3 linked regions of the Cricetulus griseus genome follow. The protein of the gene in region 1 purifies or fractionates together with the protein of each later gene. This does not show direct contact. Links are inferred from orthologs where the notes say so. Each region holds a gene or a part of one and is shown in the gene's direction. Other genes may lie near its edges.

The links.
Region 2: the proteins of Cops5 (region 1) and Klhl15 purify together in Homo sapiens (affinity purification with mass spectrometry; 3 studies listed by BioGRID and IntAct, with this or other methods). This does not show direct contact. The link is inferred for Cricetulus griseus from reciprocal best matches to the Homo sapiens genes COPS5 and KLHL15.
Region 3: the proteins of Cops5 (region 1) and Cops7a purify together in Homo sapiens (affinity purification with mass spectrometry; 19 studies listed by BioGRID and IntAct, counting the BioPlex papers as one, with this or other methods). This does not show direct contact. The link is inferred for Cricetulus griseus from reciprocal best matches to the Homo sapiens genes COPS5 and COPS7A.

What each region holds. Positions count from the first base shown.
Region 1 is NC_048595.1:150,156,359-150,160,015, forward strand, and holds part of Cops5 (COP9 signalosome complex subunit 5), read left to right. Parts: intron 1-2,474; coding exon 2,475-2,623; intron 2,624-3,657. UniProt on the Homo sapiens protein: Probable protease subunit of the COP9 signalosome complex (CSN), a complex involved in various cellular and developmental processes.
Region 2 is NC_048604.1:75,724,215-75,727,871, reverse strand, and holds part of Klhl15 (kelch-like protein 15), read left to right. Parts: intron 1-906; 5' UTR 907-913; coding exon 914-1,618; intron 1,619-3,657. UniProt on the Homo sapiens protein: Substrate-specific adapter for CUL3 E3 ubiquitin-protein ligase complex.
Region 3 is NC_048601.1:21,457,366-21,459,995, forward strand, and holds the end of Cops7a (COP9 signalosome complex subunit 7a), read left to right. Parts: intron 1-221; coding exon 222-327; intron 328-480; coding exon 481-632; intron 633-801; coding exon 802-841; 3' UTR 842-1,684; coding exon of another isoform or gene 1,685-1,712; 3' UTR 1,713-2,010; downstream 2,011-2,630.

The sequences.
Region 1 (3,657 bases):
TCACAGCCTTTGTGCTTAATGTTCAGAAGATAAACACCAGCATACATGTCCCTGCATATTCTCAGGCATGTTTCCTGTGTTTGCTCAGCTTTGCTTAGATCACATATTCATCCATAAGACATGTCATGGGGCAGAGCAACAAATTTGATGAGTGACTGGGCCAAGGCAAGGGCTAACTGCTGGGCTGGTGTGAAAACAACTCTTTGAGGAGCATGGGGATTAAGCTGGAGAAGGAGGTCGTGGAAATCAATTTGATGATAAATACCAGGCAAAGAAAGGCATTAACTCAGTGTGTCCTGATACATCATTTAAAATCTAATGTGCTTATTACATGGATATATATTTAATAGGTACATATTTAAAACTTAGGGCAGCTTTTGTTTCCTGTGGTCCTGGCTGGCCTTGCAGTTGCTGTGTAGCCAAGGATGACCTTGAACTTCTTTCTGTCCCCACCCTCTCTGAGTGCTGGGATTATAGGCATGTGCTTCACATCCAGTTTTAGTGTCTGAGCCTTGGTGTAAAATGTTGGCAGTGACACTGTAAGTATTACTAAGTACACTAAGGTACTTTACATAAGTCATAACAAAGTTAGCAAGTGCCTGGCTTACAATGAAGTCTGGATGAATAATTACTAGTGTTTTGTTTGGTGCATTATATTCTTGGAAAGACTCCCTTGGCCCTATTTATTTTAAATATAATTTTGACAAGATCTGTATTACTAGAAGTAGCAGAATTAAAAAGAGAGCAGGCTGGGCACAGTGGCGTGTGTCTATAATGCCAGTCTTTGTGATTTGAGAGGTTGAGTCAAGAGGATCAGGAGTTCCAGGTCTTCCTCACCACGCTGAAAGCTAAAGGCCAGCCTGGGCCACATGGGGCCATCTTGTTTTAAACAAAAATAAAGGAGGAAAGCAATCATACTAGAAAATATTATGTATCCCGTGTGCCAAGCACTGCTAAGTGTCTTATGTATGTTGTTCCCTTAGAGACAAATATATTTATAGTCAGAAGTGACACCTGGTGGCAGGGAGAGAAAACTCTAAGACAATAGCAATAAAGGCAGTTGAATATACCTGCTTAGTCCTGTGACTGACTTTCCCTGTATTCCAGCATTGCAATATGAGGACATGAATAGTTGGGATGAGTGTAAATTATTAAGTGCCTTTACTACTAAGCTGACTCACCAGCCTGATACAGGGCCTTGCCTTATATATAGCCTTGACTAGCCTGGAACTCATACTATAGTCAAGACTGCCTTGATTACATTTATAGTTGCCAGTTTTAGATTAAAACTAAAAAGACATCTCATAGCAGCTTTTTAAAAATATTACAGTTAGCCCTTGCTAACATAGTGGTATATGCCTGTAATCAAGCCTGAGTCATTTGACACCCTGTCTCAAAACAAATAAAATGAGAATATTACAATTAAGCCTGGAGGTGTAATTTGGTGATTTGTAAAATACATACATATTTGGAAATGGTATGTGTAATAGATCCTCAAATGTAGGTATGAATGAGGACATATTGCAATACTCTGATAAGAACAGTCACAAAACTAGCTAATAATTATTAAGCCTTTCTTAGGTGCCCTGGACAGTCCTAGAGTTTTAAGGTGGAAATCATTGCCACCTACTTCCATTTTTAAGAGTTCCAGGAGGCGTGGTCCAGGCATTCCTCATAGCCTTCATAATGACAAAACTTGATTTAAGCAAAGGAAAAAATAACACATTTAATCTTGAAATTAGGTTCTAAAATTTTAAAATCAAATTGGTAGATTTTAGGAGCAGTTTTTATAGCTATGACCTAACTTCTTCACTGTCTATCCATCTTTACATTATTTAGATATAGAATGTTAAATTAATTTACATAAAAATTAGTGGATTTTGTCAGGCATGGTGGCGCATGCCTTTGATCCCAGCACCGGGAGATAGAGGCAGAGGGAATCCCTAAATTAGAGGCCAGCTTGGTCTACACAGCAAGTTCCAGAACAGCCAGGGCTACAGAGAAACCCTGTCTCAAAAAGAAAAAAAAAATTGGGTTTTTAGCCAGGTATGGTGGTACACACCTTTATTCCCAACACTAGGAATCAGAGGCAGGCAGATCTCTGTGAGTTCAAGGCTAGTCTGGTTTACATAGTAAGTTCCAGGACAGCCAGCGCTTTGTAGTGAGAGACTCTGTCTCAAAAATAAAAGCAAGTGTGTGGGGGAGTGGGTAGAATCTTGGGCAGTGGGGGTGTGGGGCTGGACAGAATGGGTGGTATACCTATAGTTCCAGCTCCTCAATAGAGTAAGGCCAACTTGGGCAACTAACAAGACCCTGTCTCAAAACAAATACAAAGGCTTGAGAGTATAATGCTGTAGTGGAGTGCTTGCTTATATCTACATGTCCCTGAAGGCAGGCTTAGCCCTGGAAAAAAAACAGAATATTTTCATGATGAGCCTATGCTGTGAAATGACATGACACCATTTTCTCCACAGAATGCAGACTATACCACTGGCCAGGTGTTTGATTTGTCTGAAAAGTTAGAGCAGTCAGAAGCCCAGCTGGGACGAGGGAGTTTCATGTTGGGTTTAGAAACACACGATCGGAAATCAGAAGACAAACTTGCCAAAGCTACTAGAGACAGGTAAGTGTTCATGTGCAGGTCCTGCCCTACTCTTCTCTCAAAATTTACAGGAAGTAAATCCTGATCCTGTGGTTCAGTCAGCTACAACTTGGGAAATGCCTGAGTATTATCACACTTTCAAATTTTAGGGGACATAAGGCAAAATAGAAAGCTCAACTCAAAGATCTAGGAATACCATAGCCACATGGTGTACAAGGAAAGCTGGCCCCTGACTAGATCTTTTTTCAGGGGAAGGGCTTCCAAAAGCATGCTTACCCTTTTCCTCGACTAAACATTTTCTGAAGAATTAACATTTCTTAAATTTGCCAAATTTCAGATTCCAGAATATTGTGGAAAAGATTCTCTCTTAAGTCGTTCTTTCTGCACTTTAGTATCTCATGTTTTACTTGCTAATTATTTCCTTGGGATGTGGTCTCTGATAACTTAGATGAGAATGTGACCATTGATGACAGAATGTACGGGTTGAAAACACTAACATTTACTGCCACAAAACCTCAAGTTTTAATCTGATACTGGCAGAAGAGAGAATATTTGGGCAGTTATAAGCTGGTTTGTTTGGTGGAGGGCGGGGGCTGTCTTCCCTCAGTTCATAGCATATTTCCACTCTTGGGATGTTTTTTTTTTTCCTTTTTCATAAGCTGTTTCTACTCCTTGCCAAACTTGAAAAGCAGAGCCTTCCTCCATCTCCTGGTGTCTGCCAGGATTTCCACCTGTACTGTGTTTTTCTCTTTAACACTAATGAAGTTGTCTTTGAGCATAAAGCAAACAAACAAAAGCACTGTTCTGTAGGGAGAAGGGAGGGGAAGGTGAAGTTTATCCTGCCACTGGAGTTAGAAGTACCTCATTCAGCTCATCCTGGTGGAGAAAGTGGCTCAGTGGCTCAGCACTTCAGCACTTCCCTGTCGGGCATAGGGCTCTGGTCCATCCCTGGCACCAAAAACCAAAACAAGAAACATGCCTTCTTTCAGAAGGTGCAGTGGCCACACATTGGCTTTGGCTGTCTCAGTGTGTGAACTCATGAATGTGTCTGCATT
Region 2 (3,657 bases), on another chromosome or scaffold:
ATTAATCTGTTGTCAGACTTGTTTTTCGTTTTAAAGAGTGTCTTGTTATGTAGCCTTGAGTGGTTAGAACTTAATGCAATCCTCCTGTCTCTGCTTCCCGAGTGCTGCTTAGATTGTAGATATGTGCCATATACCCCCAAAGTGTCAAGCTTTTGAAGTTATTTTTTTGTGGACAAGGAAGGTCTGTCTTTGTAGCCCAAGACAGCAGCTGGTCCAGAACTTGCTGTGTAAATCAGGCTGACTGAATTCTCGGCATGCTATGTTTATCACCCTCCCTTACACCCCTTTCTCCCTGTTTCCTTTTCTCACTCCATCATGTGCAGGCTGGCCTGGAACTCTGGATTAGAGTGATGTTTTTCTTTCAGCCTCTTGAGGAGCTGGAACTGCAGATGCATGCTACTGTGCCAGATACTTTATAGTAGTTTATTATAAATAGTTCTAAGAATTTTATCTGCACAACTTGGCATGTTTATCCAGTTACTTACTTTGGGTGAATTTCTAGGAATTTTCAAATTTGCCTTTTTTTTGGTATAATTTATTTTCTGGTTTTTGTTTTGGCTTTTCCTTAACTAGGTATTTACTTATGAAATCTTTTGTACTCCTAATTTGGGGGCATATATATATTTGATGAATTGCATAAAGCAAGTCAGATGGCCGTGTATTGTTTGTAAGTTAACAGGTTACTATAGTTTGATAGATATATCTTTAGTAGAGTCTTTTCACCAGGTTTGAAGCTAAAAGCATTAGCTTGGAAACTTTCATACAAGGTTGCCTTCTCTCTAATGGTTTGTATACTTTAAGACTTTGGCAGTAAACCTAAGATATAAGAATTGTTACAGTTTTTAATAATACCTTCTGAATCCATTGTGATGATTAATACCATTTTCTTTAATTACTATTTTCCAGGTGATTCATGGCAGGGGACGTGGAAGGTTTCTGTTCTTCCATCCATGACACCAGTGTCTCTGCTGGGTTCAGAGCACTGTATGAGGAGGGATTGCTTCTCGATGTCACTCTGGTTATTGAAGACCATCAGTTCCAGGCCCATAAAGCCCTCTTGGCCACCCAGAGTGATTACTTCAGAATTATGTTCACAGCAGACATGAGAGAACGCGATCAGGACAAAATTCATTTGAAAGGTCTAACAGCTACCGGTTTCAGCCACGTTCTTCAGTTTATGTATTATGGAACTATAGAACTGAGTATGAATACTGTTCATGAAATTCTTCAGGCTGCAATGTATGTTCAGCTAATAGAAGTGGTGAAGTTCTGCTGTTCTTTTCTGTTAGCCAAAATCTGCTTAGAAAATTGTGCAGAAATTATGAGACTCTTAGATGATTTCGGTGTTAACATCGAGGGAGTCAGGGAGAAGCTGGACGCCTTTCTGCTAGACAACTTTGTGCCACTCATGTCCAGGCCTGACTTCCTGTCCTATCTGAGCTTTGAGAAGCTCATGTCTTACCTGGATAATGATCATCTGAGCAGGTTTCCAGAAATAGAGCTGTACGAGGCTGTGCAGTCTTGGCTGCGACATGATAGACGACGATGGAGACATACAGATACTATCATTCAGAACATCAGGTTTTGTTTGATGACTCCATCCAGCGTTTTTGAGAAGGTTGGTGCATTTGAAAGCAGTAGACAGGACTCCTCATTTAGTTAAAGATGTTGTTATAGATAAGATTCCAGAGTTGGTCAGGAGTCAAAAAAGGAGTAGTTTATAAGAATATTTTATATATAAGAAGCTGATGTCTTATTATGTCTTATGCATTTAGGTGTTTTTACAATACATTTTGTGGGTGAAGGATAAACCAGGTAGGTAGTAGAATAGTCCCACCTTTAAAGTACTTTTAAGGTAGGATTATGATGTGATGCAAATATTACAAATTTGCTTTAGCTTTTCTTATTATGAACTGGGTTAGATTATTTTTAAAAGTCACTTTAAGTAATCCAATGCTAGAATTGGCATTGAGGATTTTTACAATTCTACATGGTGCATATATATTAAATGTGTTTTCTTATATTTAAAATGCAGTAAGGGCACATACAATAGCTCTTGATGACCAGTAGGCCACTGAGTGATTGTCTTCCATACTCTTGATTATTACTGTTTCCTATTTCACTGTGAATACTAACTAAATTTATTAATGAAAACGAGATATATTTCTAAAACATTTTGATATTTCCAAACTAGTAGACCATAAATCTTCTATGTACATTCATCAATCATTCCTGTGTACATTTTACCATGTAAATGGTTCTATTTTAAAATACTTTCTCTAAAACAGCCTTGGCCTTTTTGCAAGCATCTTCATTTTTATATCAGTCTCATTTGTGATCCATTCTTGCCCAAAGGAGAGAGAGCAGCTTCAGTAATTGCTTAACTTAATTGGTTTCTAATCACATGGTTAACTCTGGGGCTCTGTTTACCTCTTGCATCTTTCCTTCTTTCTAGAAAGCACACAAAACTCGGTCAACAGACACCCTTCATGTTAAAACACTCAGCTTTAACTAACTGTGTGAAAAATAATCTCTGAAAAAGGAGGTTTGTTTATGCCATTTGATAAATAAACAAATTTGCACCTTTGAATAACACTCAGCATCCTGGCATGTTTTTCTCCCCCACCTTCTGAACTGCTATGAAATGTCATTATCTTTAATAGAGAATTTTATGGAATTTTATCTTTATTCTCAGAATGTATTAATATGACAAATAATTGAAACTAAATATATTTGTTTTTGTTGAGTAAGAACCAGCCCCACATCAACTATGTAAACCATTTGCTGCTTATGTTGTAGATTTTTTCCTACCTTTACTATTGTTTTTATTGCTCTCTTTCTCCAGGGATTCATGTTTTGTCTTTATACATTAAATGAGGATGCTTTCTTGCTGCTAAAACAGAGCCCCCTTTTGCCCAATTTCAATCTAGATTGAAATAGAAAGTATTTGTGAAATAGAAAATAAAATTTCATCTCTTGTGGGACAGTATAATGGTTAACCGATAGCAGTTAATTTGTAAATGCTGAGCTGTTAGGCTAGCCTACATTTCAATTATCAGTTCTCAAGGTAGGCAGTTGTTACAGTGGCTAAAAGGTAATGCTATTGGATAGTTAACAGTTGAACTTGCTGATGTCCTTTTCCACCTATGGCATAACAGTGGTTATCCCCATTGGCTAAGTATGTGGTTTTATCAGGATAAAAATTGTATTAAGGCTTCTTTCTGGAATTGCTTTCTTAGGAAGACTTAAGACCCAGTTGAGAATTCTTCCTTTTTTTGTAATATAAAATCTTTCACTTCTACTTTAATAATACTAGTAAGCTTGCCTTCATAGTGTGTGTTTTAAGTTTATCAAAGCAATCTGTGACTTTTTAAATGCTGAGATGCATTTAAATTATGTAGATTAGAGGCTTTATCTCTAGAAATACAACTTTAGAAACCAAACCAATATGGAGAATTTGGTTGGCAAATACATATTTAGATATGGTTTGGCATGGTGGCATATACCTTTGAGCCCAGCACTTAGGCAGAGGCCAGATGTGGAGAGAACCTGTCTTAAAACAAAGAGTTTAGTTATCATACATTTTATATTTCTAACTCCTTGAAAATAGTATCCATATATTTTTCTTATATTCAGAACATTGCAAATCCCATACAG
Region 3 (2,630 bases), on another chromosome or scaffold:
GTCACTCAGCTACTCCCTTATCCCTTCCTTCTCCTACTCCAGGGGGTTTGCTGATGAAAATACTGTTGTAGCTGGTTCCCGGGTGCCTGGTGAGGGCTCCCAGCCTTGGCAGGGGTTTCGAGTCCAGCTTGGAGGCTTGCTTTTGAGGTTTTGTTTTGTTTTTAGGAGTTTATGATCACAGGCCTCTTCTGCTAACACTTCATCTGCTCTGATTCCCACAGGTGTGTAGGCTGTGAGGTCGTGCTGTCCGGCATCGAGGAGCAAGTCAGCCGTGCCAACCAGCACAAGGAGCAACAGCTGGGCCTGAAGCAACAGATCGAGAGTGAGGTAAGCAGGTAGGGAACAGGTCAGCTACAGCTACTGCCCTGGGCTCCTGGCCTGTGCACGTGCTGGATGTGGCTGAGGCAAACTGATAAGATAATCAGGATCTGTCAGGTTCTGGACCTACTTTGCTATCTGCCATTCCTTTCATCCTGATAGGTTGCCAACCTTAAAAAAACCATTAAAGTTACAACAGCGGCAGCTGCTGCAGCCACTTCTCAGGATCCAGAACAACACCTGACCGAGCTGAGAGAACCAGCTCCTGGCACCAACCAGCGCCAGCCCAGCAAGAAAGCCTCAAAGGGCAAGGGGTGAGCCCGTGCGGGGAGCCGCTTGCTTCTGGGTACCCCACATTTACCTCAGGGGCCTCAGCCTGGCTGCTCCACTTGCTTTAGTCATGTGCATGGGGTCGGGAATGGGGGTGTCCTCCAGGAATTAGGGGACCCCTTGCATCCCCTCTCTCTCTCTTCCCCTTGCCAGACTCCGAGGGAGCGCCAAGATTTGGTCCAAGTCGAACTGAAAGGACTTGTTTCTTCCCTGGGAATGTGGGGTCCCAGCTGCCTACCTGCCTACCCCTTAGGAGTCCTCAGAGCCTTCTGTGCCCCTGGCCAGCTGATAATCCTAGCTCATGACTTTTCATCTCCTCCACCCCCAAGCATAAGCCACATCCCCTATAGGGAGAAGGCCAGTCCAGGTCACGTCTTGTTGGTACTTGTTATGTGTTCCATTGCCTCTCTTCCCTGACACGCTTGCTCTCATCTTCACTCGGCACTGTGTCTGCCCATTACCCACGTCATCAACCAGGTTGGCAGTCCTATGGAGGGTGCTTTCTCTTCGCCACCCACAGGTGTTCTCTACCACGCCCACCCCTGCATGCCTAACCTGCAGTTCCTCCTTCCCTGTGCCTATTGGGCTGCACCTGAAAAGCTATTGGGAAGGGTGTCCTCCACCTTCATCCCAGCCTTAGAGTTCTGGAGCCAGTCTGCCATTCTGGGAGTCGCTGAACACTTTTCATCCCAGAATCCCATCACACTACAGTTGTTTCTTGTCCTGTCTCATCTCCTTGGGCCTGGGAATACTGTTGCTTCAGTGACCCCAGAGCCCCAGAACAGCTATTTTTGAGATGTTAAGAAATGGTTCTTTGTTAGCTAATCATCTTAGGAAACCCAATGGAAATCCTGGAATGATTTGTATTTCTTCTTGTGATTTTGGTGGGGAAGGGAATATAGATTGTATATTAAAAAAAAAAAAGGTATATATGAATAGGTCTATATATAACATGACACAGAAATAAATCTAAGAGAAATCTGTGTACAAAAATGCCAGGAACTGGGCCTCTTCTGTCTTTGATGTTTGTTAACAGGGAGAAGATCAATCCCAGTCCACTCTAAAGCCGAGTGCTGGGAAGTGAAAAGAACCAGATACTGTTTGCAGACTCTTGACTAGCAGCCAGGAGGCCTAGACCCTGGACAGATTGCTCCATACCTCAGCCCATGTTCAGAAGTAATGGGCACCTCCTGACCACCACCATGTCTTAACAGTGGAGATGCAGACTGACCATCACTGTCCCTACGCTCCAGGACCTGCAGTGTAGCCTGTTTCTTTCACCTTGTAGAATTACAAGGGGAGGTGTTGGTAGGGAATTTGAAATTTCACATTGAAAACGCATAAAACTATTAGCTTTGTTGATCTTTGGCCCTTTTGTCCAAATTAGAGTTTCCCAAGAAGTATGGCAGGAGATCGGCCTAGAGCACTGCTTGCTTCCTAGAGGAGGGGAATGCAGTTGAAGGTGGGCAGTTGAACCCTCACTTGGTGTGAAGTGTTGTCTCTGAGGGGCCTAGTGGGTCTGGTTGACTGGGCCTGTTGTGTTCTCTAACTGGGGATTTAGGAAATATCTCCTTTTTAAAAACAATTTTTTTTTGATAGGGATCTCTATGTAGCCCTGACTGTCCTTCCCTGTGTTGAGCAGTGGAGATGCTAGTCCCTGGCCTAGACTCACAGAGTGCTGGGATTAAAGACATATGCCACCATGCCTGACTATAGATAAATTACTCTTAACTGCTCCTAGCAGTCATTGGACTATAAAGTAGGGACAGAGTCCTGGTGTCTTGTTTTTGTTTGTTTATTTGAGGGTAGTTAATGGTTTTGAGACAGTCTTGTGCATTTCAGGCTAGCTTTGAACGCGCTATGTGGCTAAGGATGACCTTGAATTAGGACCCTCCTGTCTCCGGCTGGGTACTGGGATCACAGGTGTGTACCACCAAACCTGCTTTAGTTGTCACTCTTGGTTTCTCAGCTTTGTCCTAGAT